Linked DNA regions of Oryzias latipes. The protein of the gene in region 2 purifies or fractionates together with the protein of the main gene of each other region. This does not show direct contact. Links are inferred from orthologs where the notes say so. Each region holds a gene or a part of one and is shown on either strand. Other genes may lie near its edges. The genes, in order: reps1, bmp2k and ap2s1.

Region 1 (9,513 bases), on a different chromosome or scaffold from region 2:
GGAGCAGGGAGTGGAAGCAGGGGAAAACGGGAGAGCAGGTCTCCTCTCCTTCCGCCTGTGACACGGCAGCAATATGGTTGTAACAGGGCAGGTTAAAAAAACAGACCAGTAAAAGAGGCTGCATGTGGGTGTGACTAAAACAAGTAGGCTTGTTGCTGGAAACAGGATCAAGCAGTCAGCCTCCCATGCATGAGCGCTCCCGGCGGCCGTCAAATAAATCCATAAATTAGCTGCATCACTGAATAAGCCGCAGGGTCGAAAAGCGTATGACAAAAGTAGCGGCTTGTAGTCCGGAAATTATGGTAAATGAAAAGTTTGTCTTTCCGTCCGCTGATAGTAAGCTAAAGTGAAACACAGTTACTAAATAAACCATTACTTCACAACACAAGGCAGAATTAAAAGTTAGAATTTGGTTTGAAATTGGAAATGTTTTGGGAATTCTTCATCTAGATTTCACAAAGATGTTCCATAATCACTGGAAAAGCTTTAAAATGGCAGAAATGTTCTAAAATGAAGCTAATTTGATGTAAAGCCAAATACTTTCATGCTAATATGGATCTGTTCAATCCCAAAGGCTCAAATTGCAAATATTTCAGAGGAAGTTGAGAGTTTTCTGGTGTTTGTTCATCCTGTTCTGCATATTCCAAACATTATAGTTCAGTTTAATGGAGAATCATAAACAATGAGAAGCTCCTGTGGGTTTCTAAAACATTTTTAAACCGACAACTTCTCAAACAATATAAAACAAGGCCAAAAATGTAATTAAGCATCCTAATTTCTTGTTGGAAATTTGCCGATTGAATAGTTTGAGCTTTGAACCAACACCAGCCTCCTCACTTCAAGGCCTTCCAGTCGCACTTTAAAAGCTGTTTCTCACAAAGAGAAAAAGAAACGCCAGTCCTTTCATTAAAACTCTGAAAAAGGAACTCGAACAGCTTTGAAAATGATTGTCCTGCTCGAGTACCCACCAGTACTTTAACTTTTATTGGAGGTTTTTGCCAGTAAAACACAAAAATAACACCTTCAGGTCCTTTAGTCTCAAATTCGGTTCTGAGACGCCTTAAAAGAAATTTCACTTGGAGGAACCAGTGAAACTGTAAAGTTTCCAAAGTCCATGCTGAAAGGAGTGTGATGTGAAAGCGCTAAGCTTTGGACATCAAAGAGATTCAAGGTTTTAGGCACTAAAAGTCCTGAAGAATTTGGAAAAAAAGGTGTTTAAACATTCGACACAAGCCGCTGCCTACAATAAAACCAACACGGATCTTTGCAGTCCAAGTTTGACTTTGGAAACGTGGCGAACATCAAAGTCATTCTTCACTCTGTCTCATCTACAGAGTGCATGTTCCCAACCTCAGGACCAGGATCCGTCCTGGAAAATGAATGCATACCTCACATTATTTCTGTTTTCTTTATGATCCTGTTCTGAAGGAAGCTTTGATTTGGTAAAACTCCTGGCTTCTAAGGTTCCCTCTTTACTCGTGTCCAGTCGTTATCCTCAGTTTTGTGTCTTGACACATTCGTTACTTTCTTAGAGCGGTTCTTCCAACCGCCGAAATGAAACCATCAAACTAGTTGACAAAAAAACGAACGTCTTTGAAAAGTTTCTTTGTGCAGAAAAGAGTCAGAAGAGGACAAAATAAAAACTAGGAGATTTATTGCAAATCTGGATTCACAGTTGTTTCACCACCCCATAATATTAATTCATAGCTGTCTAATGATATGAAGATGCTAATCAAGTTCCAAGCACAGAATGTTTAGAAGATACCCGTTTTTGTGAGGCTTTTATCATTTCATTTAGTTGTTTTTATCCACCACAGGTTGGTGTCTGGTTTGTGGCTTTCGCTGAAATAGTTCAGTGAAAATGTGAATCGAACTTTACACAAAGCCTAAGGAACAAAAACAATTTACTGCAGATACTTTATAGAGGAGGGAGATTAAATGCACAGATTGGAATTTGCAAAAACTTGTTAAAGGGACATTTAAGGATTTTCCTAAATCAAAGCAGCATTAGATATTCTTCTGTTAAGAAACTACAACTGTCTGTTCAGACTAGATTCCATGTAGAACCATTTTACCGGGAAAATTGGATTATAAAACACAAAAACAGACAAACAGATGAACTCAGGCCAGTTCATGATAATAATCGGACATTAAGCCGGTCTAAAAATCTGCCACAGCACATACCAAACGCATATTTTTTTAATACATGTGTATTTGTCCATCTACATTTCTGTTATTTAAGTATGTATCCATCGTAAAGCTGTCAACACTTCCCCGCCTCCATGCTGTTTTGGCACATCAGACATGTTTATAGCTGTACCTCTGCACACAATTACAGACATTTCATATTTTGCATATTTGGACACTTCCGTTGTACACTGTGCACCTATTGTACACAGTGATATTTTTAGACGATACTTTGTCTTGGAAAGTTTTTGTCTTTGCACTGTAAATGGTGATGGCTTCAACGTCATGACAATAAAGGCATCTCTCTCTCTACCTCTACCTCTACCTCTGACCTGAAACGGTTTTCCTGTTTCCCCTCAGAAGTCCCGGAGCCGACTCCAGATGTTGGCTACTCGGCATCACCTGTAGAGGGCACCCCCAACAAGTCCCCCTCCATGCCGTCTCTCAACCAGGCGTGGCCCGAGATGAACCAGAGCAACGAGGTTTGAGCGCTCTGCACACGCTCACAGACGAACACCTCAGCGCCGCGTTTGCCTTTGACTCTGAATCCATGACTCTGTTTTCCTCATCGGCCTGCTGTGGTCTGTCTCCATCCTCCTCCTCAATGTAATCTCTGATAATTCTGCTGATCTTTTCCGGCGCGCCGTCATCGCACCGGCGCAGACTGATGATGTTCATGTGTGATGTCACCGCGCCGCTGACTGACGTGTTTTTGTTTTTTTTTCTCACTCTCTGTCTGTCTCCTGCAGCAGTGGGAGACGTTTAGCGAGCGCTCCTCCAGCTCTCAAACTCTGACCCAATTTGACTCTAACATTGCACCAGCTGACCCTGTAAGTCAATCACTTAGTCTGCATGCTGTCACTGTGATGCAGCGACCCATTAACCCTCGCCCTGCCTGTCTCCGAGCATGAATGTCTCCGGGTTGCAGCTCAGCGGCCGTTGTGATTCGCCTGCCTTCCTCTGTCCAGCATCCCCTTTTTCCTCCACGCTGACATCCACCAATCAACAGCTTCCTTTGAAAACACGCAGTCCTGAAAATTTGACACATTAGTCGACGGACGACCGCTCTGCACTTCATACGATGCCATCGGAATCTGAAAGCCAGGATTTAGTCGCTTTCTGCTGCTTTCATCGATGTCCTGCAGGCAGAACAGAATCAGAAGCAGCGGAGGGAAAAGTCTAGCATGAACACACATCGCTTTGACTCTTTAAAGACTCGCTCTGTTGAAAATAGTGTTTTTAACGTGTTCTTATGGCTTCTTTCTGATGATGGACAAATATTAGGGAAATTACAGTTAAAGAGTCTTTATTCTAATCGTTGTGGGAAAAAATGCCATTTTGAAAAAGTTGCTACAAAGAAAATATGCTGAGCAGCTCTGCTCCATTCTGATCATCCACTGTCAGACAAATACATCCATGAACGTCTTTGTTTCCCTCGTCTGAGCTGGAATCTGGAAGCTCCTATGTTGCTCACTGCTAATGTTGGGTTGGGGCATGAGGGATTGTAAGAGGGGACAGGAAGTAAACAGATGGATGACGGGAAGTGCGGGCCCCAGTTGCTTCTCGGAGATGAAGTTCCAATGAACTCCTGCTATTCTGCAGAAACTAGAAAAGGACACAGGGTTTTGGATTTTTGCTAAAAACAGCACAATCATAATTCAAAGACCATCCATCAAAAGATGATCCGAGTGAGAGTTTGAATGGCTGCATGTCCACCGCTGTAGCTTCATGGAAATGTCTGAGGTGTGACGGTGTGTTCAGAATTAAAGGTTAAAGAGCACTTTGAGGTTTTTGGAGAGTCTCCATCGATGCAGTCCAAAGGTGCAGAGTTGAGCCAAAACAGAGGCTTGCTTTTATTGGACAAACGCTGTAGATGTGTTTGTTTGTAAATCAGTGGTTCAGTGTCTCAACAGAAAGATGCAGGACTCTGATTTGAATAGGAATTCATCAGAATAGGCTTTACATTGAGTTTGGTGAGGCTAAAAAGAGGGAAAAAAGGGGAGAAAAGTCAACAAAACTCCTATTTCCCTTCAGCTGTTCTGCATTCATGTTTTCTAATGATAGCTTTTCATGAAGATAATAAGGGAAACTGTAGAGATGTCTGGAAAAAAGTTCAGTTAGGGAGTTTGACTTTAATATAAATGAAAAATATGTGATGATGTGGAGAAAAGCCAAGTCTTTTTTTTAGCAAATCTGTAGAATTGAGTGGATTGATACATGGTGTCTTCTCTAGTGTTTGTCCGCTTATGTCTTTTTGTTGAAGTAAGCTTTCCTTCTTTTGTCCAGGACACGGCCATCGTTCACCCCGTTCCCATCCGGATGACGCCCAGTAAAATCCACATGCAGGAGATGGAGCTGAAGCGGACCGGCAGCGGTCAGACGCCACTTTCACTGCTCGTGTACACAACCCTCAGCAAATTAAAAAGAAACGTTTGTTGTTGTTTTTTTCCAGACCACAACCACCCCGCCAGTCCTCTGCTGGCGAAGCCCCCAGAACTGTCCGAAGAAGCCAAGCTGCCTGCTTCCATGAAGTTTGCTGCCGCCAACGCCGTGGGTGAGTCCACCCTGCCCGCCGTTTTCTAACCACTCATCAGGGTCATGCCGGCATGTTGCGTGTTTGGCGTGTCACATGTAACCCTTGTGCTATCTTGTGGGGTCTAGATGACCCCCACTTTCAACGTTAACGTGCCTCCGAGGCACGTTAACGTTGAAAGTGGGGGTCATCTAGACCCCACAAGATAGCTAAAGGGGTATGCAGACATGTTGAATGTAAGGGAACCATTGACAGTAAATGAGAACTAGACGACCCACCGGCATCTACTTTAGCTAACAAGTTACTGTAACTTCTCAAAGTAAAACTGCTCTTTTGAAATACTAAAGAGAAATCTTCATCCGCAAGCTTCTTGTATTTTTTTTCTCCTGCAGGTGACGGCTACAGCAGCTCAGACTCCTTCACCTCAGACCCGGAGCCCATCACCCGACAAAGGTCTGAGTCCTGGTCAGGTCTATGTGGTTTGAGTCATGATCAAATGAATGTGTTTCTGTTTGGTTTATCCCTTGTGCTATCCTAGGCACTTTACCATTGGGAGTTGGGTCATCTAGACCCACTAGACAGTGCTCTGAACCTTTTTTCTTCAATGATTTGTGATCTTCACTGGTGTCCATGGATTACATGAAATCTTTCCACCTTTATCCACCTTTGTCATGGTGGGGAGAACATGTCAATGTAAGGGTGGGGTCATCTGGACCCCACAAGATAGCACAAGGGTTAATTAAAGGATTTTCCCATAACCATGGATTTAAGCTACAAAAAAGCGGAACTTGGATGAAGGAAATCATGAATTCCTAAAAATAAAATTTAATAAAACTGTAAGAGTAATGTGTGATATTTATAAATGTATATTAGATCTTTAAGTAGATAAAAAAAATCCAGTTAAGATTGTTTACGTTATAGTTTTAGTTCCTCATTCATTCCTTTGTGGGGGTTCCTCAGGGTTCCTCATTGGTCCCTCTGAGGTTTTTCTTTATACTCTTCCTCTGAAACCTCAAAGCATACTTGATACTGTAATGTTTTTGTTTTGGTTGCTTTTATTTGTTACCTTTGACCTTTTTTATCCAGGTCCCAGTCGGGAACGTCTCCAGAGACTCTGAAGGTGGTAGCCCCGCCCCCTCCCCCTCCCCGCCCCCACCCTTCTCACTCCCGCTCCTCGTCTCTGGACATGAATCGCACTTTCGCCGCCTCCACTGCTGCGGGAGCGGTGCAGCCGTCGGCGATCGCGTTCCCCCCCGCAGTGCCTCCTCGCCCCCTCCCCACACAGGTGACAGCACAGTCAGGACTGTAAGTTTCAAAGTGCGTCTGTTACTTCATCTGTCTCCTGCCGCCGCCCCTCGGCAGACGTCGGTGCCCGTCACCGGGCTTCGGGTGGAGACCGAGGCCGGCCCGGCAAGGGGAGCGGCGCTCGCCACCACCACCTCCCCCCAGCAGATCCCACAGCAGCCCAACTTCGCAGACTTCAGCCAGTTTCAGGCCTTCGCCGCTTCCGAGCAACCGTCCAGCCTGCCAGAGGTGGACAAGCACAGCGAGGAAGCACAGGTGAGCGTCTCCTGCAGACCTTCCAACAGCTTCATTCATCCCATTCAGAAATGTTCGTCTAATGGACACCTAGAAGGGCATTGTCCCACCCATACCGCGCTCACTTACAAAACATTTAATTGTACTTTAATCTATATATATTTAACTTTGACATCATTTTTCACAATAAGCCGTCTATTTGGTACGTGGTGTGACGCATCGTCATGGTAACGACTACAGAACCTGCAGGTCGCTCTGTTTCATCTGGTGTATGAGGACTAGCCCGCACTATAGGGCGCACATCAATGAATGGTCCGTTCTGGAACTTATGTCATGAATCAGAAGCAGACGTAAAAATGCTGTTGGAGAAAAAAAGCTTTCTTGTGATGTAGAAGATACACTGGGTGGGCCATGAGGTCTCAGTAACGGCAAGGGGAAGGGGGCACGGGGTTGCTCCGCCCCAACAGCCCCGCCTACAAGGCAGAGGTGAATTTCCAATGAACTCCTGCTGCTCTGCAGAAACTATGTCGATGGATTTTTGCTAAAAACAGCACAATAACGTCTAAAAGACCACAGGGATCATTTTGAAAAGATTATCGGAGTTTGAACTTTAACCCTTTGGAACCTGGGGCCCAAAACCTTCATTTTGCTCACATGTGAGTCTGCATTTCTATTCAGCACATCCTCACCCATGTGACACCAACTCTTTTTTGTCCTCTGTGTCCTCAGGTGGAGAAGACGGCGGAGGGCGCTGCGCCTTTAAGAACTGTGAAGAGCGACGGTCCTGCAGATGACAGGAGCTCGGCGGCGGTGAACTCTGTGCGTCACTCACACCGTCTCCGCTTCGGTTTTCTTTGAGCCGCTTCCACTAAACCCTCCCCTTTTTTTCCCATCAGGCTAAGGGCTCCTCAGGCCCGCTGGCTCCTCCCCCAAAGCCGGTCCGTAGAAGGTTGAAGTCGGAGGATGAGCTGCGGCCTGAAGACGAGCAGCACGGGCTGCAGAAGTCCAACATCATGGCGGCTGTCCTCGCCACACAGCCGTCCATCCCCAGGTGGGGGCGGGGCCTGCTGACGTCACAGATTTTTGTTGACATTTCCGTAAGAAAAGGTCGTTGGTTTTTCAGGTCGGCCGGAAAAGACAAGAAGTCGATCCAGGCGTCCATCCGGAGGAACAAGGAGACGAACACGGTTTTGGCGAGGCTGAACAGCGAGCTGCAGCAGCAGCTGAAGGTAAGAAGCCCCGCCCTCCCCGCCGTTCCTGGAGTGGGCGTCTCCTGATGGCTTCGTGGCGTTGCAGGACCTGCTGGAGGAGAGGATTTCCTTGGAGGTGCAGCTGGAGCAGCTCAGGCCCTTCTCGCACCTCTAACCCCCCCACTGTGGCCACGCGGCTCTCCTCCAATCAGATGTGGATGACGGATGGGAGAAAGGGGGGGCGGTTGACTCGGCACTTTCCAGTTTTCTCTGGCGGTCCGGCGGTCCGGACTCTGAAGAAGGAAACAAAAGCTTGTGCGTCTGTGTGCGTGTGTGTGTGTGTGTGTGTGTTGCGTGTGTGTGTCTACACCAAACTCCGGTCAAGTGCCTGACCTTCACGAACTCCTCCACCCCCCCAAACCCGCTCCTTGAAAACGTCTTCCAGCTTCCTTAATTCATTTCTCCTGATCTGGACCCAAACAGGCGTTTCTTCTTCACTCCGTTCTGAGGAACACGCCGGCTCCCCCTGGTGTCTGTCTTTGGTGTTACAGTGTTTAGGGATTGACGGAAGCGTTTTTTGCCAAACGACCGGATTCTTCAGTCTCACATTTCACTCTTTGGGGGGGAAAAAAAAAGTTCTGTACAAACTTGAAGAGCCCCCGTTCTCCTCCCTGGAGCTGATGCTGGGGGCGGAGCTTCTGCAGAAAAAAGGCGGGACTATGCATTTTGACAGAGGGACTCGGGCTCAGAGGTTGGCGCTCTCATCGTAGCGGAAAAAGCTTTTTTTTGTTGTTGTTTTATATCTTAGATCTTCCATCTGCTGCGTGCTTATGGTTCTGGTGTCGGTACAGATCAGTAGAACTCAGTTTCAGTCAGCAGAACCCTGAACGACCCAGCCGCACTTTGACCCCACCCCCCACCTCACACAAAAGTTTATACTCGCCTTGTTCTTTTAAAAACGCTTTAAGATGAAGAAACGAACCAATCAGAGCGCTTGGTTTCTTCCAATCAGTTTGTTCTCTCCTCCTAACCCCCCCTGAGTTCCCCCAACACACCCTCTTACCTATTCAGGCGTTCAGGTTTCCGCGGTAACGGAGTGACCTCAGATCTGTTGAGAGGAAATCTTATTTAAACCCAAAAATGTTCCATGTTTGCCCCCTCCCCTATCACACGACATAAAGGCAATCCATGCAGGCAGAAGCAATCAGTCATTCAGAAGTTTGAATGCTCTTAGCCCCCCACCCCCACCCCGTGTGATGTATATTGGAACCCCCCCTCCCCCTGGACTCCTGTGCACATTTTGCATCCATTGCTGCCTAACAGCACCAGAACCATCTATTTAATTCTCTCCTGGCTGTGGGACTCTAGATGTTGAACTGCATGGACGTCCTGGATCTCTGCAGGATTCATTAGCAGCTGTGTGATTTTTACACAAAAATAAAAAGTGACATTATTTTACACCCGACTCTATTTAATCTGTTCCTATATGAGGGATTTCTGATGAACCTTTTGTTTAGATTCACATGGAACGAAAGAAAAATAAAACAGCAGTTTAAGGATTTGGAAGAAAACAGTTTTCAGACTTAAGTATCTTTTAAAGGTTACCATGTGTTTGAATTACTTTGATAAGTATCACTCACAAATCAAATTGTTTTTTGTAATTAAGAAATAACATTTTATTTTGGGGAAATGAAGGGACTTAACCATCCAAAACTTAAATTTAATGAGCACAAAGACAGCTGAGCGAGTGTTTTCAGGGAGGAACCTGACAACCGAGCGACCCCGCATTTTCCACGGTTGCCATCTGCGCTCCTGCGCTCTCGCTGGGTTTGCGTGCAGTGTTCAGAGGAAGTTTTTGTCACTTGGGGCGCTAACCTTTCTGGTTGATATGATTGGCCGAAATTTACCTGTCAAATCCGGTGAGGAAACTGGGCGGGACTTGCATTTTTTTTAGAGGCTTTATTAGAAAACACAGCAGCTGTAACGTGGATTAACCAACGACCCAAGACAAAGGTAAGAAAGTGCAGCGGGGTTTTTTTGTGCTGTAAGTTTTTCCTCATGTGA
Region 2 (10,741 bases):
GATGCAATGGTAGATATTGTTGTACTTCCTGCTGCGACGGCTTGATCTGCCCTGGTCCAGGAGCAGGCGGTGTGGAGTCTATGGGGCTACGATTACCGACCGCAGGCACAGCAATGCTGCGGGACGCCGTGCTGTACAGGCATGATGCTGAGAAAATGTCTCACTTCATCCACAAAGAGTGGTGTGCCTAAACTTTACGATGTTTTTCCTGCAGGAGGATTTTCTGTGGTGTTCATGGCCCGAACGCACAGCGGCGTCCGCTGCGCTCTCAAAAGGATGTATGTGAACAACGTGCAGGACCTGAACGTCTGCAAGAGAGAGATCACTATCATGGTACGGCTTTGGTCACGAGCCAGCGCTTCAGCTGCAACAGTTATCTTCTTCTCAGCTGAAGCCTTTTGAGCTGCATTCCGGTGCTTTCCTTCATAGAGACGTTCTTTGTAGTGAAAGGCATCTCTCTAAATACATATGTAACCTGCAGATCTCCAGTAGAAAGTGACCCAGCAGGACTTCACTGTTCAAGCAAGCACTGATATGAATGGACTTCATGTTTCCTTTGAGCAGCCAGTCATAATGTAGAGTGACCAGAGGTCCTGGTTTAGGGAGGAGGCAGAAACTCCTGTTGGCTGCTCACACTCGCCTGTCCCTCTTCTCCCCCACGCTCAGGTCCTCTCCCTTGATGGGCTCCAGGTAATTGGTGGGCCCCGCCCAGGAAGAAAGTCATTTTAGCCACACAAGAAGAAACAGAAATGCACATTTTCATGGAAACTGTACATTAAACTGCTGTAAACAAACAGACATAAAATAATAAACAACTCAAATCATTACAAACCACAATGGTAATCAAACAAATCCAACCCCTGCCCCCCCCCACTTTCTTATGCCCAACCCCCAAACAGGAAGTGAAGGCCGCTGCCAGAAAGGAGAGCTGAGAAACCAGAAGTCAATAAACAAATTTAAACCTGTGTATGTTCTGGATCCGCTCAGCGGGGCTGGGACAGACGGGTGATAAGTCGACACAAGCTGCTCACAGAAACAGTTTTACATTTAGATGGAGACAAAATCCAACCATAACTTCCTGAAAACCTCCTGTCATCCCTTGTTAAGCACACGTTGCTTAGCAACAGTCAAATCAGGGACAGCTTTAAAACTATCGATGCTGGTGGGATTTCAGAACAGACGTGTTCATATTTGAATTTTGAATTTCCATTTTGTGTAAACTAAGAATGCCTATACATTGAATAAGGTACCTCTATGTTTAACAGAAGTCACAAACATGCTGGAGTAACAAGCTTGTTTCTATACAACTTTCATCCAGACCATAAACTTGCCCTTTTAGGTCTCTAATGTGCACTTTACAGTAACATTAATGTTGAAATGAACACTAAAAATCATTAAAAGAAGACAAAACTTCCAAAGCGATGTGTGTGGCAGAAGTTCCCGTGAGGTCATGTGATCGATGGCTTCCTCTTTAGACTCCAGTATTTCCAGTTGAGCAGCTCTGACAGGCCTCTGCTTCCCAGCGAGGCTGAAGGAGCACAGCAGTAGCCAACGTTGGCCTCTGGTATGTGTGAGAGCTGTAGTAAAGTGCTGCAGACTGCAGAGGAGCATCCGCCTGCAGCTCCGTCTGCTTCTGTCTGCACGGCCTCGTCACCTGGAACACGGACTTCCACCCCTGCACTTGCCTCAGGTGTGTCCGTGTTCACAGCTCTCAAACATGCCGGGAACTGGGGATGGAATTAACCTACAAAAGTAGGAGGCAGGAAGGAGGATAACAAATGGCAACACATCTCACTATTTCATCTTTTACAGGGTTTAACCCTTTTTCACCCAAGATGCCGCTGGCAACACCTGAACAACACGCTCTTTGATGTAAATCTTTGACCGTTCACGGAATCGCCATGAATCCGCTGGTTCTGATGCGACGTGATGTCATAGTGGCACATTACTAACATAAGGTGTTGTCTAGCTGCTTTTCTCTGCAGCAGAATCACTTCACTGCCATGCGGTGTTGGTTATCAGCACTAGGCTGCTTTTCCCGCTCCAGAATCCTCTGGAACTACCTTCAGTGCAATAAAGCAGTACGATGGTGGATAGAATGTCAACACTGGAGCTGATTCTCTGCTGTTGAAAGGGTTAATCTGTCTAAACCCCCCCCGGTCAGTATTGCTCATTTGTGCTCCTCAGTGTTTTGCCCTGAACTCTCTGTCTTGTGTGTAGAAGGAGCTGTCAGGCCACAAGAACATCGTCACCTACCTGGACTCCACCATCAGTTCTTTTTCAGACAACGTTTGGGAGGTCCTGATCCTCATGGAGTTCTGCAAAGGTACGGCCTGTGTTTGTGCACAGAGCTTCTAACTGTGTCTGTGTCTCTCCAACTACCATGAAACTATAACACGCGGGGCGGTGTAGTGCCCAGGATTTTAAAAGCAATACGCACCGACCACACGCTCACTGCTTTGGTCTTTAAACTGCGATTATGACGTCACCCATTTCACAAAGTAAAATTGTGTTTTAGTGTTTTATGACTCTTTATGAACTGTCCTGATGATTAAAACATTGATGATTTATTAAAAAATACATTAAAATAGTTTTTCTGCAGAAATTGTTCAGACACATTGCATTGTGGTCTATGTATGCCAGTCTAGTGAGCATCGATGCACACTGGCTTGTTGCAGAGACTTCTGGGTTGTTTCTAGGGCTCTGGATTTTGGAATTGTAGGTTCGGACAGCACTAGAAAACGGCGAACGCGCCATACAGCGCAGGAATTCAGACACAACAGAGAGATTCTGCTTTTCTCACATGACCTCAGATAGTATGAAACGAAAGTAGAAAGAGATTAAGCAGAGGAAGAACTTCTGCAAAACTCTTCTCCTTCCTTCAGACTTTCAGTTTTTCTGCTGGGACACGGCGTCTGTGAACAACCAGCCTCCCTAGAACTTTAGTGGTCTTCCAGACTCTGGAGGGGTCAGCGATGGTCTTCTGATAATGTCTGAAGTCTTCTGTGTGTTCCACCAAAATGAGACAATTCAATGAGACACGGTGAAGCTTGCAGACAGTTTGTTGGTGAAACTGTTTAAAAACGTATACTTTCTGTGTAACATAAGTTCCATTGCCAACAAAGAAGTGGGCTTCAGACTTGGGCATCAATGCAGACGACTCTTTTTGGTCAGAGATTTGCTCAAACACTTTTTATGAGCGGGAACCGATTGAAATCGTAGAGTCCTGGATCTATATTCTATCTGGCTTGTTCGGTGACTCTTGCAGCTTTTTTCTGTCCCTTGTTGAACCCGTTCTCCAGCCTTGGTCTTGACGTTTCTGTTGGTGCTCCTGCAGCGGGTCAGGTGGTGAAGCAGATGAACCAGAGGTTAAACGTGGGCTTCAGTGAAGCTGAGGTCCTCCACATCTTCTGTGACACCTGCGAGGCCGTGGCTCGCCTGCACCAATGCAAGACGCCCATTATCCACAGAGACCTGAAGGTGAGACGCCGTTTCCCCTCTCCTCACCCTTTGGGGCTCTGAACTCACCTGTGTGCAGCTAACTTGAGCTTTGGATGGTTTTGCTGTAAGGTTACAAGGGTTTTTCACCTTCACTGAGAACCATGCCAACTGTGGTCAGAGAGTCTCCACAGAAAGGACACTTCATGTTTTCGTTGATATTCGGAAGTGAACGCTCAGGTTCAGTGTTACATCCAGGCTCTTAGATCAATCTGTGACTTTGGATATAATACAGACCTGGTGAAGTGGGGGAGTTTAGAGAAGTCGGCGTCTGTCTCCAGAGTTGCTGCTCTGCTTCTTGTTGGCGTGCTTCAGCGCGTGACTCGGCCTGCGATTCTGACGCCTGTCAGACTTTAGCGTGACAGCGCTGCAGACGACAGCAGCCCCTGCAGTGCATCGATGTGTTTTAGTCTCTGATTTCCAAAGGTCAAAGTTCGTAATAAATGTTTCCACTGAGCAAAGAGCTGCCAGGACGTTTCTGAGGAAGATGGACATTCTGAGCCTCATGCAGAAGCTGCATCGTCTTTCACACATTCCTGCCAGAAGAGGGCTGCGTTTTGATGACACTGCCAAGCTTGAAGCGTCACGCGTGATCAGGAACTATGGTCCCAGGATTTCTCACTACCAACCTTGTTTCACCAAAAACAGGGTGGATCTGCCAGACTTTGGGAAATCCCTGTCCAACCGTCCGTTCATGTGGTTCTTTTTATATTGAGTCTGCATTTACTGATGCTCAGCAACTGATGATGATTTCCTGCTGTGGCTGTACCCCCCCCCCCAGCGCCCCGTCAGTGGGAACGGTCCCTTCAGCCCTCTGTTGTCTGTCGGCTCAGCTTGCGTAACGCCGCAGGGACACAAAGGAGCGCGGGGGCCCGGCCCCGCTCTGCCAGGGGAAGTGAGAGTGCAGAAAAGTCCCCTGACGCTCAGAGCATGAACGGCTTTCTGTCAGAGGTTCGGTCCTCTGATCATCAGAGATCCTCAGCGTAGCGTCATTTAGGTTCCTCTCCCCTCCTCTGCTTTCTTTTCTTTGCGTTCTTTTTGCTCTGATTCTTGGCCGTGCGTTTCTTCTAGGTTCCTCGTCACACGGCTCGTGTTTTGTCTGGTGGTGGTGCTCCAAAATAAGAAAACGGTGACATGGATCAATGCTGATGTTCTGAGCTTCTATGTTGTAAAGATTGGAGTGTGACACATGCAAAGACATGGGACTCTGACGTTCAGTCACCAACACGTCTGTGAACATGCTCGTCACTTCCTGTCAATGACGTTTCCTGTGTTTGTCCTCTAAACGCCTGCACAGGTGGAGAACATTCTGCTGAACGACCAGGGGAACTATGTGCTGTGTGACTTTGGCAGCGCCACTCACAAAGTCTTACTGCCTCACAAGGATGGAGTGACAGCTGTGGAGGATGAAATCAAAAAGTGAGTATTGTTCGGCTACACCTCTGACTACAAAGGAGGATGGCGGTTCTCTGCATGACTCAAACCATGCAGTGTCAGTGTCAGGTGGTAATCTGCTTCATTCCTGTCCGTCTTTGTTCTGCTCGGAGCAGCACTCCGTCATAACATTACAATAAAAGCTTCATTTCCACCATGGATTTGGATCTCTGATGGGCAGAAATCGACCTTTGATCCCTTCAATCTCACAGCTTTAATCAGCAGGAATTCTGCTGGATGCTTCACTCACTAAAGGAAAAGGAGGATTTGTAAATCGGGCTAAACGTCTGATTTGGTCTTCATCAGTGCGGGTCATGTGGACCCACAAGACCATCCATGTTTGCTGCTAGTTGGTTTTCAATAATGGCAGCAACCTTTCAAGACGGATCAGTGGAAGAGAGAATAAATATGTGACTCCACGTTCAAGGCAGATGAGTGACAGAAAGGTTAGAGACCCTCCTGTGTGGGGTCAGAGGTCAGAGTTTGTATGAGGTTCATCAGAGCGTGTGAGCCAGAGATCCTGATGGACTCCTTTATATTCTGTAACAAACCCTTCTTGTCTCATCATTCATTCTGCCTGAAATCTTTCCACTGATCCATGATGAACTGCCTTTCTAAGTCCTGGTATGTTTTCGTTCTCCGCTCGGTGAAGTGTTGTTATGACCTCCGGAGACCTTTGACCCGTCGCTGACACGCCTCGTGTTCCTCCTGCAGGTACACCACATTGTCCTATCGGGCTCCAGAGATGATTAACCTGTATGCAGGAACCGGCATCACCACCAAGGCTGATATTTGGGTAAGACCCAAATATGGTTGGGTGTGCAGCGTCCTCCACACCACAAGCAGGACTCTGCAGTCCCATTCAAGCCTCCTGTGTTTGTCATCAGACGCTGGTGTCCTCGGTAATGCTCAGAGTGGGCTTTAGCTGTTTTCTGGGCACCGTGGTCAGAGCTGGAATCAGATGTTTTAGTGTCGCTGCAGGAATGTGGCTGTCGCTGACTCATCAACTGCACATGAATCACATCAGCTGTACTGTTTGGCAACTTCCCCCTGCAGTGACACTTCCTGTTCTTTCCAGGAAGTGACTCTATATGTTGAGCTAAGGAACAGAATCAGGTTTCTGTGGTGTGGATCCTGTCTGATCTACTGGATCAGCTGTGTGAAGAGTTTGTTCCAATCGTAGCAGATGAAGAAGAGAGATCTTCTTTACTCTGGCTGGTTACAGACACACCGTATTCTCCTAGAAAGGTGACGTCCACCAGAGCCAAGCTGAGAGCAGGTCTGCATGAGGACGAGGACCAGAACAGGTCATTTTTAGAAAAGCTTCGGTTTCTTGAGCTCAGCTCCAATGCTTCTTCAGAAGAGCTGTTGTTTCTGACTCTGATAAAGGCCTTCATGGCCTGTCTAACAGGCTGGAACAGGTGAGGGGCGGTCCTTCAGGTGCAGGCGTGGCTCACAGAGCCGGCTCCTCTGGTTCTCATGTGCTCGACAAACGTGTCCCAGAGGTTTGATTCTCCTGTTGTGGAGACGCTGCAGTCATTTGAGTCGTCTGTCAAAATCCTGGTCTTCTGCTTTTTCTGTTCTGCATTCATGCTGCAAAGTCCAGAGCCTGTGACCCCCCCCCCCCCCCCCCCCAGCACCTGAAAGACGGTGTGATGGTGGTGTGGGCCCACACATGCATGTCCTCCTGAAGGCTTCCTGCTCTTCTCCTCAGGCCCTGGGATGCTTGCTGTACAAGCTGTGTTTCTTCACTCTTCCTTTTGGGGAGAGCCAAGTTGCCATTTGTGACGGGAGCTTCATCGTTCCGGATAACTCCAAGTTCTCCTGCAGGCTGCACTGCTTGATCAGTGAGTGGCTGATGTTGGTTCATGTCCCCTTCCAAAGGCTGCCGGTTCAACCTGGCGTGAGGCGGGTGACCCAACATGCCGCCTGCAGCGGGTGATCGTGTGGAACAGTGGACTGTGGTCTTTGTTCCGCCGCGCTAACAGCCTGTTTGAACCGGTTGACTTTGCTTTGATTGACGCCCCCCAGCAGGATGTCCACCCCTGTTCAATGTTGGATCAGCAGCACCACCAAGTGGCCAAAGTTAAAGATGCACTTTTGTGTCTGCTTCAGGATACATGCTGGAGCCGGACCTGGAGAAGAGACCAGACATTTACCAAGTGTCCCACTTTGCCTTTAAGTTAGCGGGAAGAGAGAATCCGGTACCAAACCTGTGTGTGAGTGTCTGCACTCGCCCCACTGGCACTTTTGCACCTGTGCAGGTGTTGACGGTTCTGTGTGTGTTCTGCAGAGCTCAGCCATCCCCACATCGCTCCCGGAGCCGCTCACAGCCAGCGAGGTTGCTGCCAAAAAGAATCTGACAAAAGCCAGGTGGTGTGGCTGTTCCTGCAGGCTAACACTTCCACGCACACCGCCACGCTGGTTACAACATCACAGACGGTTTGGAGGTTTGTTGGTTGTTGGGTTAAAGGTCAAATTCTTCTGTCCAGGATAACCGACTCAGTGGTTCCAACTGAGACCTCCATAGCTCCTAGACAGAGACCAAAGGCTGCAAACTCCAACGTTCTCCCCCTCGCCAACACCGTCACCCCGGCCAAGATGACCGTGCCTTCCACAGCCGTCAGCAACGGCCAGAAAGGTAACGGATGGGTCCAGTGTGACGGCACAGCCATGGTTTAGCCTGTTTCATGCTAACCAGCTTGGATTTGAACTGCAGCTTTTTAAAAAAAGCTTTAAAGGTTGGCATGAAAGCAAGGCTGCAGAGCCAAAGCAAAGACGACGTGCACAGACCAAAGCACCTCCTCCTTGTTCATTCTGTACCAATAAAGGGAGGAAGCTGTTTGGAAGCAGTCATGGCAGTATTTCTATTCACTAGAACTGAAGTTTTCATCCACATTATCTGTTTTGATCCATGCATTCAGACTCTTTTTTTATTAATATCTGTGAGGAAACTGGAGATTCTAAACAGGACTGTAAAATAGGTAAATTAGGCTGGTTCGTTCCTTTCAGTTTCCTGCACACAGAAATGAATGAATAATGACTCAGAGACTAAACTTAGCTTCAGTGAAGATTTACTCCGCACAAATTTGTACGAAGGGTTACAGACAGATGAACAGGGTTGCTGCATCAAAGTCCAAACAACGGAGCTCAAAGTCTGAACAAAGAAAACAGGGAAATGGGCTTGGTATGTGAGCCCTGCATTTGCATATTCAGAAGGTCTTCCAACGCACAACGATGTGAAAATCACAGCCACAGACTGTTGCAGGCTAGGTGCTCGAAGGTCAGAGAGCTTAAAGTGTCAGATCTCTCTGAGGTCACAGACATCTGCCAGGACACCAGCACACACAAAGATGAAGGGGAGGAGACTGAAGGAATGTCACCAGACAACAGTCTTGGTTGTGCAAATGTAATATAATTTTGAGGTGATAATACATAGTGAATCAAGTTTAAACCATCAGTGTAATAAAAAGTAAAAGTTAGTGTAATAAAAGGTAAAGGGGAGTTTCTAACTTTTCTGTTTCTAATTATTCCTAACAATATCCTTATTGTTGTACCGTTTGGTTACAATAGGTGTCACTTATGGCATTTCTTATTTCTTTGACTTGATGAAGTATTTCAGCTTCCTTTTCTGTCAACAATCACACCAGCTTTTTCCCAGGAAAAGCCTTTCTGCTCGTTTTCACCACACTCTTCATTTGGACCCCTCAGCCCCCACTACCAGCTCTGGACAGCCTTCCATGCAGGCCCAGCCGAGCTGTCTGCAGAACCGAATCCTGCAGCAGCTGCAGCCAGGTGATCTGCGTCTGCAGCAGCTGCAGCAGCAGCCTGCAAATGTGCAGCAACTCCAGTACCTGCAGGTACGGACACGCACAGCTCAAGGTTTTGGGTTTTCACACTGAGCTCTGACGGACATGACTTTGCTCAGTACCAACAGGCAGTGCAGCAGTCCCTCCAGCTGCAGCAGCAGCAGCAACAGCAGCAGCAGGTCTTGCTCCAGCAGCAGCAGCAGATGATGATGATGCATCCCATGTACCAGCAGCAGGTCGCTCAGGCCCAGTATGCGGCTATGGTGAGTTCTGGAAAGAGTCTGGATTTGACCCAATGGCTGCCAGGACGCAGTGTACTCAGTGAAAAACTGCAGACTTCATCCAAACACATTGAGGCGCAGCGTGAGGTCCATGATCCATTCCATGTCAGAACGGATCCGTTTTGTTCAAACCTGGCAGCAGGCCGTCTTCACTCTTCACCAGCCACTTGCCAAGCAGCATCACAAGCAGACGCTCAAACTTCCTGCTGAAAATCCGTATTTACGCAGCGACGGAGTCAAACACAAACACAGGTCCTCCAAACATGCAGGAAGGGTGGCTCCATTTTTAGCCCGCTCTCCACCAACTGCACACCATCTGCTCCACTTCAGAGGCAATCTGGTTCCAGCAAAGCCACCAGGACTCTGGAAGGCTTCAGTCTAGCACCAAAGGGAGGAGCTTCCACTGACACCTCCGGTTCTCAAGACGCCGCCTGCCCCGGCGCTTCCTCACTGGTCCACTGTGGCCTTTGGCTCTGGCCTCATCAGGAGCACAACAGTCCTGATCGGGCCCTGACCCAGAAATCTGCTAGAGCTGTAATGAAACGGCCATGAATGCATGTTTTCATGTATCGTGTTTCTTCTCTAACAGATGTTAACGCTCAATAACCATTTGCTGCTGTGTGTTTGAGGACTTGAACTGTTTTGAAATGTTTTCTTTCATTGCATCTCCATGAACTCAGTGGTCCGCCCCTCATTCCCTCCCTCCTCCTCCTTCCCCAACAGCTGCACCAGTACCAACAGTCGTTTGTGCAGCAGCAGCAGCAGCAGCAGCAGCAGCAGCAGCAGCAGCAGCCTCTTCCCTACACATCTTCCCCTTTGGAGTTCCTGGGACCCTTTAATGCCTCCACTCCCACTGCTGGGGCCGCTCAGATGGGAGGACCGTCGGCTCTGGATCCTTCATACGCCACCCCCAGGTAACATACCGGATTCGCCTGTGGGTGGGAGGGGCAGAGTCACTGCTGCAGCTTCAGCTCATATTGAGAAGATTAAACATCTCTTGAGGAACTGTGTTACTATGGCAACACTAAAAGTCAATGGACTCAGAGCTGACCATTTCCCTTTGCTGCTCCCATGTGACGCTTTGCTGAGGCGTTTCACTCCGTCTAAAAACTCCAGGTGGATTGTGGCCACACCGTGTGGTGTGGAGCTGACCACTGATCAGGGTATGGTGGCCCCAGAGGTCTAAACAGGAGGAGGGTTTGGACACCGGGGAAAATGGGATAGAATGTCGGTTGATGCTCAGTAAATGATGTCTGCCATTTGCTTTCACTTTTTCAAATGCTTTTTTATTTCATAACACGCCTTGCTGAGGGTCTTAACCGGCGTTTCTCTGCCGGTTAAGACCCTCAGAGCGGTGGTCCCCAACCTGTTAAGCGCCACGGACCGGTATGGCGTCACTCTCAATGTTATCAGGGCCGCTCTTGAACAGGTAGCAACGCTACGATGAAGGAGGAACAGAGTCGTGACAAGACGTGTCCTGAGCTTTTATTTTGACATGATGACATTGTACATGGCACAGGTGTCACCCCCCCACACACACTCATGGTGCTACAAAGATGCACTGTCTGTTAAATGTAGCTTTCTTTTTTTGGGTCTTTGTCTCCTGGATCTTTTCCACTTTGGCAAAGAAACTTTCCAGACGTTTGTTTTTTACCCATTTTCTAGCTGCTGGGTTTTATTTTTGCGGTAACCGGTCACGTGACCCAGAAGAGCGCCTTG
Region 3 (11,476 bases), on a different chromosome or scaffold from region 2:
AGAGTTATGTTGCTGGATTATTAGAGGAGCCAATTGGTGGCGTTAATTCTGAGTCACAGGGATGCACTCTGCTGAGATCAAAAATATTTTTCACGGAAAAGGAGTTTATGCAATGGCCTCTGCCTTATGAAAGCCTGGATTGGTGAGAAGCACAAGTAAAACATAAAAATGAAAGCAAACAAAAAAAGGTCATTAACATAAGGGGAACACCAACTGACAAGCAAAACATACTGGTAATCCAGGTTTTTCACACAGCAATCAGGGAGAAAATGCACAGTCCATCTTTGGTCAAACCCCAACATGTTATTGCTTCAACAGTTTGAGTGGTTGTCCCACCCCCTCACCCCACTTTTTTTTTTTAAAGTATGACATGGTGTGGAGTTTCCCCAGGCCTGACAAGACCAATGCATTCCAGGTGTTTGTTGTATAAACAATTTAATGTTTGGATAGAACCAGGTTTTTTTTAGCTTTATTCTCTAAATTTAACATTTAACAAGCTCATGGTTACCCTGACTTGCCCTACAAACTGCTTTATTAAGTATACACCCCGAGCATCATCTTAAGTATTATAATTATGATCATTTTGAGGTACTTGGGGGCCATAAAATCATGTCTGCCCTCAAGCGAAATGAGGTCGACTCCCAGTTTCTCGATTTTGCCTGGACTTTGGCGCAACTGGAGCAGCAGGTGAGGAAAAATGTCCATGTTCGCCCTTAAATGCTTCTCTTCCTCTGAAAAAACTGTCTAATTGTTACATGAACGCCGTTGAAAGGGGAAATAAGGAGCGTCTACGTACCAAATCAGTCCAGTCTCGCGCTTCGGTTCTTCATCCGTGCTCCTCAGTTGGGAAAAGACTTTAAAACACAAACGTGTGTGTTTGGGAGGGGAAACGCTTCCCTAAAAACTCACATCGATTATTTTCAGTTGGTCTGGTAAACACGCTGTCTGCCCGTCTGCTCCCGCAGACATGAAATGACTGTTTGAAGTTTCTGGACAAGTGAAGTGGAGGATTGCTGTCTCTGAATCGGAAATAAACTAATACATCATACTGATTAAATTAGCAGCGGGGGGAAAATGTCCCTCAAACTCGCGTCCTTTCACAGCGACTGCAAACGTATTACGAAGAGGAAAAAAATGGGAGGCGTTGCAGAGCGCTGTTTCGGTGTGTTTTCCCTTCTTGGCTCCGCCACCACGTTGTTTTGACCGATTCTCATTCGCCTCTGTCGAGTCCCAAACACAAGAGTCGGCAGGAAACGCGGTCCCAAAAGCGTCCGTAAATCAGCGGGACGGTGTTTTCCGCGTGCGGAGGCGCGCGAGGAAGCCCCGAGATCTCCTTTCTGATGTACTAGAGCCGTTCGCTGGAGAAAATGTGTGACGCGCTCTGTCTATCCCTCTGCCCCTCACTCCCTTCGCTTCTTTTTTTTTTTCCGGCTTCCCAATAATGGCGGACCTTGTGAATCCAGCATCTCCACTCCTGCTCACAGAAAGACTCTCGCCCAGTGGTTCGTGGACACAACTACAACAAGCACGCTGTTGGTACTGGCGATGCCTGACAGTACACAACAACACACCATGGAGCAACATTGATTTTTCAATAAAAACATGGCACAAAAAGTGATGAAATGTTGTGTCTGGTATCTAACTTTCCTCGCACTTTAGAAAGTGGTTTTGTTTATTAGACTGAAAAATTGGGTAAAAGGGCCTCAACACTTGCAGTGGTGGGTCTGTTTAAAAAGGAAATAAAACTGTATTGCCAAGACTCATTACTACAAAAAAATAAACCCACCAGATGATTTGTCTTATAAGCAATTAAAAAAAATCTGAAAAGTCTGAATTAGAAATATGCATAGGTTTTTTTTAATGGTAAAGCAAAACAGCTGTTGCAAATAGTAGCTTTGAAAAAAAAGAAACAAGTCTAACCTGGTTGGCATCAGTGTCATTTAGCCAAAGATGTAGACTTTTCCAAAAATAATAATACAAGTCCCAAACAGGGGTGAAACAACCAACATTTACCACAGAGGACAGAAACTAAAACAAGCTAAATGTGTCAGCATTTACCTGAATTTAAGTTGCACTACTTTACTGTGCAAAACTAACATGGCAAAAGACAGTTTTTATTCTCGAAACACAAAATAAGTGTGTCAAAATGTGATACCCAGGTACAGTACACACCTTTCATATTTAAATTGTACATTTTATCCTTAAAAAATAAAAACAACTTGTGCACTTCATAAAATTTACAATATATAAAAAATACAGTGACACAAATGAATACTTTTCAAATCAGATCAACATAAAAACAAATAAGATTCAAATGTAACACATTTAACTTAAAATATTAAACAGTTATTATTGAATAACTCATAAATATAAAGTAAAGGCTCAACAACTCATACACCATGTTCAACAATAGTATCTGTCCAATGCAAGAGGCTCCCTGCTTGTGTTTAGACAGGAGGGAAAAAAACAATGCACATTTCAGGAGCCAACCTAGACAGTTTTAAAGCAAAATGTCAAATGAAATACTAGTAAAGATAAAGTCACAGTATGCTGCTTAACTGGAATAACCTCTAAAAGAGTAGGTTTTAACTTTGAACTCCTCACGTGGCTCTCATCTGAACTCTGAGGCTGTTGGAGGGTCGAGGGAGAGTTAAAAAAAACTTTTATTCACTTAAGTTTGGTGTCTACCTCTGAGGAGGTGTAAATGACCTTCTGGGTCTACAAAAGTCTGAAAAGTCCTTTGTTTCATCGTAAGGAAACAGAGAGGAAAACGAAAGCAGTCATAAATAAACGTAAATTATCTTCCAAGACACAAAGTGACCACACCAAGAAGCAAAGTGATAGCAATTGGAAACAGCGCGGCCACAAGAGAATGAAACACAAGCAGGGTTTGTAGCAGGAACAAAAACTCTGAGTACTAAACAGGGCCACAAATGTTAAAAAATAAACACAACCACGTTGGACATTGATTTGTCCAATCAGTCTAATCAAGAAGTAAAAAAACAGTCCCGTCAAAGGTAAAATCGCCCTTTTTGTACTACATTTGAACCGTACCGTAACGATAAACAACCAGTAAACCTGTCTGCTCTATGCTGCTTCATGGTCTTACCCCCCTTCCCCTCCTATTATCACCCTCCTACCCCCCTCTCTCTCTAACGTCCCTCTCTCTTCTTCCCCTCTTTCCTTTTCCGTCCGGTCCAACACCAAAGATTTTCAAACATGATTGAAATTAATAAAGTTTGGCCTCAATTACAAAAGGGGTTTATTCAGACATACCTTTGGTTTGTCTGAAGATGAATAACCCCTCTTGTTAAAATAAAATATGTCCAACACAAGAGGCCCTCAGCTCTCATCTGTTTGCCTAGCTGTTGGACAGGACAAGTTAAAAAAAAAAAAAAAAAAAGGTAAAATCGAATCATTTCAATTGGATTTGAAAAGTCATCTATTAGGAGAATCATTTGATGATGTTTGCATTGTGATTAGTTCAGCCACTGAATGATAATTAAGTTGTGTCTCTAAGGAGGACAGTATAACAACTAAGAATTGTCTGATTTGTTGTAAAGACAACAAGCTAAGAGCTCAAACAGATGTTTAATGTTTTGCAGCGGGACCTTGTTCGGAATGAATTCCCTGTGACTCTGCCCCTCCCTCAACGTCTTCCAACAGCCCAATCCAGACTTAAACATGTACGATGAGCACAAATGTTTCATTTGATGCAAAAATGCAGGCTGTTATTTGAAAGCGGAATGAAGTGGGCCTACTTTAAAAGCCAACTAAAATTTTCAATCCAAAAGGATTAATTAAAAATATTTTGGTTACTTTTTCAAATTGGTCATGTTGTGCAAAAACAAGGTCAGTGAATTTACCTCTCACCATTCTTTACATGACTGAGTTTGAAGAGAAACTATTCAACTTGTGACAACAAGAACATTAAAGCTGAAGTTTGCTTTTTAAATAACAGTAAAAGCTTAAACTTTATTTTAATTTTAACCACCCTGCAATGGAAAAAACAAGACAAATGTAAAATTTAATGACTGTTATCAGGGGGTGAGTTGCCTTGTTTTTTCATGGGATGGGAATTTGTAATAAAGTGAGTGTTTATACATATTTTGAGAGAGTTATGCCACCAAAAAAATACATGTTCAAGCTGGGTTAAAAGCTCACATTTGGTTTTCTGTCCAATCGTATCACTTAATGTTTTTAGCAATATTTGCATGACCCCACTGCAAAGAAAGATTAACATGGGTCAAAGTTTCTGTTGAACGATCTGCTTCTGTTTTCAAATCCATTTTCGGTTATTTCAACACAGACAAGGCACAGTATAAGCAATCTACTTGAACTAATAAATTACAATGCTATTTAAGATATTTTATTTTTTACAAAACATTAACAGAGTTCCGCTGTTTTTTTTACACATATACCAAAACATTGCTGAAAGAAATAACTAGAAGAAAAAGTTTTTACAAAGGATTTTTGGCTTTTTTCTTCTCTTTATTGTAGTTTATTTATAATAAACATGTTTTTTTTCCTATCTGACCTCAACCTCTTCAACATTTGCAGCTGAATTTTTGCTGGGTCCTTGGGGAAACACATTCCTTCTGCTGCAGTTGTGCAATATCTGATAATCCCAGTCTCCCCAAGCATTTAAATTAAATCAGGAAGTCCACATTTCTCCTTTGCAGTTATAAAAGAGGAAAATATGTTAAATTGCAAATACATAAAAAAGACCAGGGTTTTATTCCAAAGTTAACTCGTTATGAAACAATATTGAATACTATACAAATTAGACTTTTGTTATTTTCGTCTGTAGCCATGGCTGCTGTAGTGTCTGTGGCAGTTCTACCTTGACTTTCGCCCCCCTCTGCCTCCGCAAAAAAAAGGAAAAAGAAAATGTTTCCTTCCTTTCACCACACTTGTGTTCAGGAGAAATGAAATTGGAAGTGAAATTGGAAGAGTCTGGATTCACACCCTTTGGCATTTGGGATTTTGAAGACACCTGCTGTATGAAAGAGGAACTGTCTGGCTCATCCTTTTGACTACTAACAGGTATGGAGAGAGCTCCAAATATTTTAGAAGTCCCCATGATTTGCACCTAACATTGTATCATTCTATCCTACTTCTTCACCAGTTGTATCGCTTTCAGGGTCACAGGGCTGCTGGAGCCTATCCCAGCTACTGTTGGGTGAAGGCAAAGTACATCCTGGACAGGTTGTTAAAAAGGCCATAACAGAGATTGACATGTATAAAAAAAATGCTTTGCCCTTTTAATAAATATACACGGTTTTAAAACCTGGTTTTTTGTTTCTTTATTTTATTTTATTTATTTATTTGCAGCAAGAGCTCTTGGTCGATTGACCGCTATGTCCATGTCTAAAACCCGCCAATGTGTAAATATTTAACACAAAAAAGTGTGCATTGCTAAAGAAAGAAGGTGTTAAAAAAAACTGAAAAACTGATACATAAAAAAACCATTGCAAATCATGTGACTTGTTGAGAACTGGACAAGTTCTTAAAAAATGAACACTGGTGTTTGTAGTTTCCTGGTACATTCCAGGAGTTCTTATCCAACCGTTAAAAACACATTTCCCATGGTGCACCACAAATCAACGAAGCTTTCCTTTTTCCTGTTAGCTAGTGCAGATAACCGACGAGCTCTCGCCCGAATAACTGCTTTTTAATGTAAAACCACTAAATTGTTACTCAGGAACTCGATATTGTTGTCACCAAAGGTTCTGCTAAGGAGACGAATATGGTAACGTCGCCTTTTTTCCTCCATGTTTTGTTTTTTCCACCCATAGTCTTTCAACATTGAATTGCTAGCATTGGTGGGATTCGTACCGATATGCCGTTCAATGAGTCACTTGACAGCCTTTGCTAGACTTCAGAAAACAAAAAAACAAAACAAGGAATACAACCTATTTAGAAATTATTCATATTTTATGAATTCTATAGCAATTAAATTGTTCGCAGTTTTCTGTCGGGAGGCAAATGCTAATGTAACGCCGCTGTCAGATTAGCCAAGAACGTTAACTAACTAAGTCAGGGAGGGAGCCCTCGAAAATTTGTGGATGTTTTAATCTCTGGAATTGAATTAACTGCTACACTTTATTTGTGGCGTCTGCTACGCATTTCTCTTGATTTCTTGATTTAAAAATAGCTATGCCTTGCTTACTTATTTTCTTTTTAATCCCAAAGATCCGGTTCATTCTCATCCAGAACCGGGCAGGAAAAACCCGGTTGGCCAAATGGTACATGCAGTTTGATGATGATGAAAAGCAAAAGCTGATCGAGGAAGTACATGCTGTGGTTACAGTCAGAGATGCCAAACACACCAACTTCGTGGAGGTAAAGAAGTTTACTATTCATGTTGTCAGGCAGTGGTTCAGTGTTCGTTTAGCTCGATTTCTTTGATAAAACTAGTGTAGATGACTGTTTTTCAAAGAAGAAAATATAGCTTAAATTGTCAGCCTTCACCGATGCTTCAGTAGATTTGGTGCAAACACGTGCAAATTACTTAGAATTATGACTCAAGATGCTTCCATCATCAAGCTCAAAATTATTCAAACGCACAGCAAATACATTTTGTTGAATCAGCAAGTTTTTACCTGATATGAAACTAAAAGTGATTGAAAATACATCTCAAATTCTATTTGAGTTTGTATAATTGTAGTTTTGAGGAGCAGCTAACAGATTTTCTCTAATTATTCAAAAACCCCAGGGGGATTTTTTAACTCATTTTTTATTTTTTTCCCCTGTTTCTGTATAAGCAAATAAAGTTGTTTCTGCTGCTGCAAAAAAACATCCCGCTTCAAATCCTCCCATTTCTTTATTAAATATGGATATAAAGATGAATATATATGTTTGTACCACATTTATTTTTTTTATGATAAACATAAAATTATCATGGTGTGTTTTGCCTCAAAGTCTGGGAGCCTATACCCCAGTAAATCTGCTGTTGTCATAATATGAGAAACTCTATTATTAACAGGCTGATTCCACTTTGTTCCCACAGTTCAGGAACTTTAAGATCATTTACCGGCGTTATGCTGGGCTTTACTTCTGCATTTGTGTGGACGTGACTGATAACAACCTGGCATACCTTGAGGGAATTCACAACTTTGTGGAGGTGAGTACACATAATGTGCTCTGATCATTTTGTTATCCTGGTCAAATGTGTTTCGTGTGTCTGACCTTTTTTTTTCCCTTTTACTTATCATTTTCTAGGACTGGGTTTTGCCTAAAAACTGATGATGTATCATTCCTCCAACCAGTTTTATGTTATATTTCTGCCTAAAAACAATTTTGTAAGATTTTGATTAACACTTTCAGAAGGATAGGTTGTTCTAAAACTTTACAAATAAAAATAGCTGAAAAAATGTTTTGTTTTCCCTTGAAAAAAGTTGCTTCAAAAGAAAATCAGTTTATAGATTTGATGAATCAATATATTGAAAAAATGAAGTTTTGTTTTAACCCGACCATACCCCTTAAAAGTTTATCATGCAACATTTATCTTGAGATCATTTATATTAATTGTAAAATATTCATTAACAGATACCATTTCCATGGGGTAAAGTTATAGTTTACCCAAAGACATCATTTTAGATTTAATAAGACGATATCGTTTGGGATCTCCTTGTGACAACAATGTAATCTGTTTTGAATTTTAAAAACAAAAAGTGAGCAACATGTAGAAAAAAAATGAATTACGTGAATATCAGCAAATGGATAAATTATCCTCAAGTGAACTTCCAAACAAATAGATTTAATGGGCAATGATTTGATGGTAATTTATGTTATTAACAGTGTTGTGCTAATTCAGTTGCTTTGGAAAGCTTGAAGAAGGAGAACGGTCACTTCCATGAGTTTAACAGTCTGTAGTGACACTTCATTAGTCTGTGTGCTGTCCTCTCAACAAGCTGAGACCCAAAATGTTGCTCATGAGTCTTTCCCGATTCCTGAATGAAGCTTAGGATGTTTCCTTTGTGTTCTAAAAGGTCCTGAACGAGTATTTCCACAATGTGTGCGAGCTGGACCTGGTCTTCAACTTCTACAAGGTAAGAGCACTTGAAAATCATCATTTGTCCATTTGCTTTTGACTTATTTTACAAATGCCTCGTACAAGAAAGTATAAACAGAAGGACAAGTCAACAGAATTTCCTTTTTATCTGTTTAAAACTTGGATGAACTCCCCTGGATTGAAAATTCAGTTAAATGAACATTTCCAAACTTCCCTTGTTCCCCTGTTCAGAACATTCTGCTATGGTTAGTTAATTCACTTATTCTTCTGTTTTGTTCTTCCAAATTATTGCCAAGATACTAACAAGCTGTGAAGTGATACATTTATAACATTAAAATGTTCAAAGCATGAATTCTGGTCTGTATTCCTTTAATGGATCAATTATGTTGAACATTTTTTTGAACATTTGAATGTCAAAAATGTTGTTTTTAAGAAGCTGACAGATTGTTTTTCAGTTTGGAATGGAAGCATTTTTTAAGAGAAGCAATTTTGCTCAGTTTGTGACCTAATTTCCCGTGAACTCTTGGTTTTTCCTTTTTTTTTTCTTTCTCATTTCTGACCTTGTCTGTTATGTTTTTTCCCCTCCAAGGTGTACACAGTAGTGGACGAGATGTTCCTGGCAGGAGAGATCAGGGAGACCAGTCAGACCAAGGTCCTTAAGCAGCTTCTCATGCTTCAGTCACTTGAGTAAAAACAAAATCCTCTGTCCTTCTTGCCCACCGGACATCCAAAAAATATATATAAATACAAATACTTTGATGTGTAATGTCACTTCATATACAAATCCTCTAGTTTTTCAACATGCCAAGTGACAACAGGCATGTGGACGAGGACTACACAACATCCACTTTTAGATATCCAATCAGCCGTTTTTTTTTTTTTCCCTGCAGTTTTTTATCTAACCTTCTGAATCGTTTTAAAAGACGTCTTTCACTACATTTCAACGTGTCAGCATTTCAAGTTTCTTTGAGTTTTTTTTTTGCTTTTCTACAGCCAAAGGCTGCAGAAATGAGTTCTTCTCCACAGTTATCTTTTCATTTATGGCATTTGTCAGAAGCAACTGTGACGGCAGTCTTCTCATTCCCACATTAAACAAAGCAATTCTTTAGCGGCACTAGAATTTAGAAGCCCCATAAACTCAGGCCAGGCCCACCTTCCCTTTACCTTATCTCTGATTGAAGTAGCCTGTTTATCCAAAATAATGTCTTTAGGTGGCATTTATAGTTCTCTTGTGTTCATGTGTAATGCTTACATATGCAGATGTGTGTGACTGATGCCAGAGCTTGTAAGAGGGTGGTACAATGCAGGATTGTCAATCAAAACGGTGCTCTTTGGTCACTGTTAACATTTAAAACGATCCGGAACAAACAGGCGGGTTTTATGTGAAGCACTACTTTGGGTTTGCTTTGTGTGATCTGTGTAAACAGTGTTGTCTGTGAGTATTGTGAAATGATTGGTCACGAAGATTAATCTTCAAAAATATAAACTCATTTGAGATTAATACATTCCAACAGTGTCATATGTGCATTTAAAGTACTGTCCCTTTGGACTATCATTTCTGGTGAAATCCCATATTTTTACCTTTAGTTGCTTCACATGTTAGACTTTGGGTTTTTCATGAAGACAATATTGAACTATGTACCCACCTGGCATTTGATAGAGTGCTAATGGAAGATGTTACTGTCTTAAATTCAGCTGCCTACATCAGCAGTCCCATTTTGTGTAAATAAACAGATTTATCGTTCAGCTTTTCTGTTATTTCTTCAAAGAAAATGTGTACAGTGTTATAAAAAATACATTTAAATTCTGGCAGCACCATCTAGTGGCCAAACAGTAACATGAATGTGATGTCATCTCAAGCCAGTCTCGGGTCAATAAACCAGTCAATATATCTATTTCAGCTTCATTAAACCACTTAATCTTTCAACTTAAGAGCATTAAACTAATTAGAAAAACGACCTGTATTTATTTACTCATTACATAAGCCTTCTGATATCCTAACAAAGCTGGAAACCTTTTGAGGCAAGTGGCTCAAAGGAGGAGAAACCCTCTACAATCAAAATCTTTATTACTTAGACTTTTAAAATAAAATGTACAATTCTTTTGATACAGTATATAAACAAAACATACATGACATTTTGAAAATAAAAGTGCACTTTCAGAGGAGGAAAACCCCAAATACCTGCGAATGGACTCTACATACTTTGGACAGTTCTATATTATAGTTACCCTTCAGTGTGCACACACGCACACTTTTTTCTTCTCCCCTTCTCTAAAGGCCTGTTTAGAAAACAAACCTGAAGGGCAACGATGACTTACAAGGATAGAGTCATCACTTCCTGTGCATCCCTTCCAATCGGCAACGTTTGGGGAAAAGCCAACCTTAATAGAGGGGGATCTACAAAAACAAAGCACAACCTGCTGTCGTTTGTAGGATCATCCCTTGTGCTGCATGTGTTTGTAGAAAGTGATTCAAAAGTAGGTTGAGGAAAAAGAAAATCCAGCAGCGGCAGGCCAAAAAAAAAAAGAGATTTTATATATAAATAAGTACGTTTGGGACTTTGGGATTTTAAATGGAATAAAAATATTATTTTCGTGCTTCTTAAGCTACACAGTGAACTGAGTAAACAAAATGTGTTGAAAAGGTGGAATCATTAGGAATTCTAACTATAAATTCACAATTTGTAAAACTCTTTATATATTCACATATACACTTTGAATGCAAACCAAATAAAAATACAGATTCCAGCCTTTAGAGACAACATCCAGCTGAGGCTCACTTTACATTCAATAGTTAGCAGGTTCAATGTTCAAGAAAACTTTAAAAGGATAAAGGATGTGGTAGATTCTATCATTTTCAATTTCTTTAAGTATACATGTTTCGAAATACAAACGTTTCCACAATCACATTTAATTTTGGGCTCATCATCAGTCATGTCAGGAGACGCTAGATAAGAGTGCTTCAAACAGTGACAGTAGGAATTTACAGACAGAAATGTGCAAGTGCAAAAAGCAAAGTTTCTAAAACCTGAATAAAAAAAGAAATAAAAATCAAAAGGTTGACCAACAGCAGCCCATATGGACCACCGTTGACTCGTCCTTGTCTGGTAAGCAACTGATGAGGACATCACGTCCTTATGTCCCCATCACGCTCACACTGAAGGGATGCTTCATCCTAGATGCAGGGGCAAGATGGCCCCCTCAGGTAAGGAGGCTTAGCGAGGGCCAGGGGCTTGTAGGAGTCTTTGTGACCTCACTCATCCAGGTGATGTAAGGTGAGTGAGACTATAGGGTGAATGGTCACACACACCAAAACACCTGGAGCTGAACTGAAGGACTGAGCAAACAAAAACCAAAAGTTGATGCGAGGCCTGTTTTTGTCTAAGTACTTCAGACAAGAACGCTCACTGACCTGTAGGGGGCGTCCTGTCCGCGTGGGGCTGCAGGCTCAGGTTAAGG

Evidence for each region.
Region 1: the proteins of bmp2k (region 2) and reps1 purify together in Homo sapiens (affinity purification with mass spectrometry; 3 studies listed by BioGRID and IntAct, counting the BioPlex papers as one, with this or other methods). This does not show direct contact. The link is inferred for Oryzias latipes from reciprocal best matches to the Homo sapiens genes BMP2K and REPS1.
Region 3: the proteins of bmp2k (region 2) and ap2s1 purify together in Homo sapiens (affinity purification with mass spectrometry; 4 studies listed by BioGRID and IntAct, counting the BioPlex papers as one, with this or other methods). This does not show direct contact. The link is inferred for Oryzias latipes from reciprocal best matches to the Homo sapiens genes BMP2K and AP2S1.

What each region holds. Positions count from the first base shown.
Region 1 is NC_019882.2:19,508,442-19,517,954, forward strand, and holds the end of reps1 (ralBP1-associated Eps domain-containing protein 1), read left to right. Parts: intron 1-2,547; coding exon 2,548-2,669; intron 2,670-2,936; coding exon 2,937-3,017; intron 3,018-4,473; coding exon 4,474-4,561; intron 4,562-4,639; coding exon 4,640-4,741; intron 4,742-5,112; coding exon 5,113-5,173; intron 5,174-5,806; coding exon 5,807-6,005; intron 6,006-6,082; coding exon 6,083-6,280; intron 6,281-6,988; coding exon 6,989-7,078; intron 7,079-7,155; coding exon 7,156-7,310; intron 7,311-7,382; coding exon 7,383-7,488; intron 7,489-7,555; coding exon 7,556-7,624; 3' UTR 7,625-8,907; downstream 8,908-9,513. UniProt on the Homo sapiens protein: May coordinate the cellular actions of activated EGF receptors and Ral-GTPases.
Region 2 is NC_019867.2:32,752,434-32,763,174, reverse strand, and holds part of bmp2k (BMP-2-inducible protein kinase), read left to right. Parts: intron 1-214; coding exon 215-333; intron 334-2,220; coding exon 2,221-2,326; intron 2,327-3,337; coding exon 3,338-3,480; intron 3,481-4,795; coding exon 4,796-4,917; intron 4,918-5,646; coding exon 5,647-5,728; intron 5,729-6,646; coding exon 6,647-6,779; intron 6,780-7,047; coding exon 7,048-7,151; intron 7,152-7,225; coding exon 7,226-7,305; intron 7,306-7,424; coding exon 7,425-7,573; intron 7,574-8,643; coding exon 8,644-8,792; intron 8,793-8,860; coding exon 8,861-9,004; intron 9,005-9,745; coding exon 9,746-9,936; intron 9,937-10,741. UniProt on the Homo sapiens protein: May be involved in osteoblast differentiation.
Region 3 is NC_019871.2:14,618,575-14,630,050, reverse strand, and holds ap2s1 (AP-2 complex subunit sigma), read left to right. Parts: upstream 1-5,597; 5' UTR 5,598-5,749; coding exon 5,750-5,752; intron 5,753-6,195; coding exon 6,196-6,345; intron 6,346-7,012; coding exon 7,013-7,126; intron 7,127-7,994; coding exon 7,995-8,054; intron 8,055-8,606; coding exon 8,607-8,708; 3' UTR 8,709-9,765; downstream 9,766-11,476. UniProt on the Homo sapiens protein: Component of the adaptor protein complex 2 (AP-2). Adaptor protein complexes function in protein transport via transport vesicles in different membrane traffic pathways.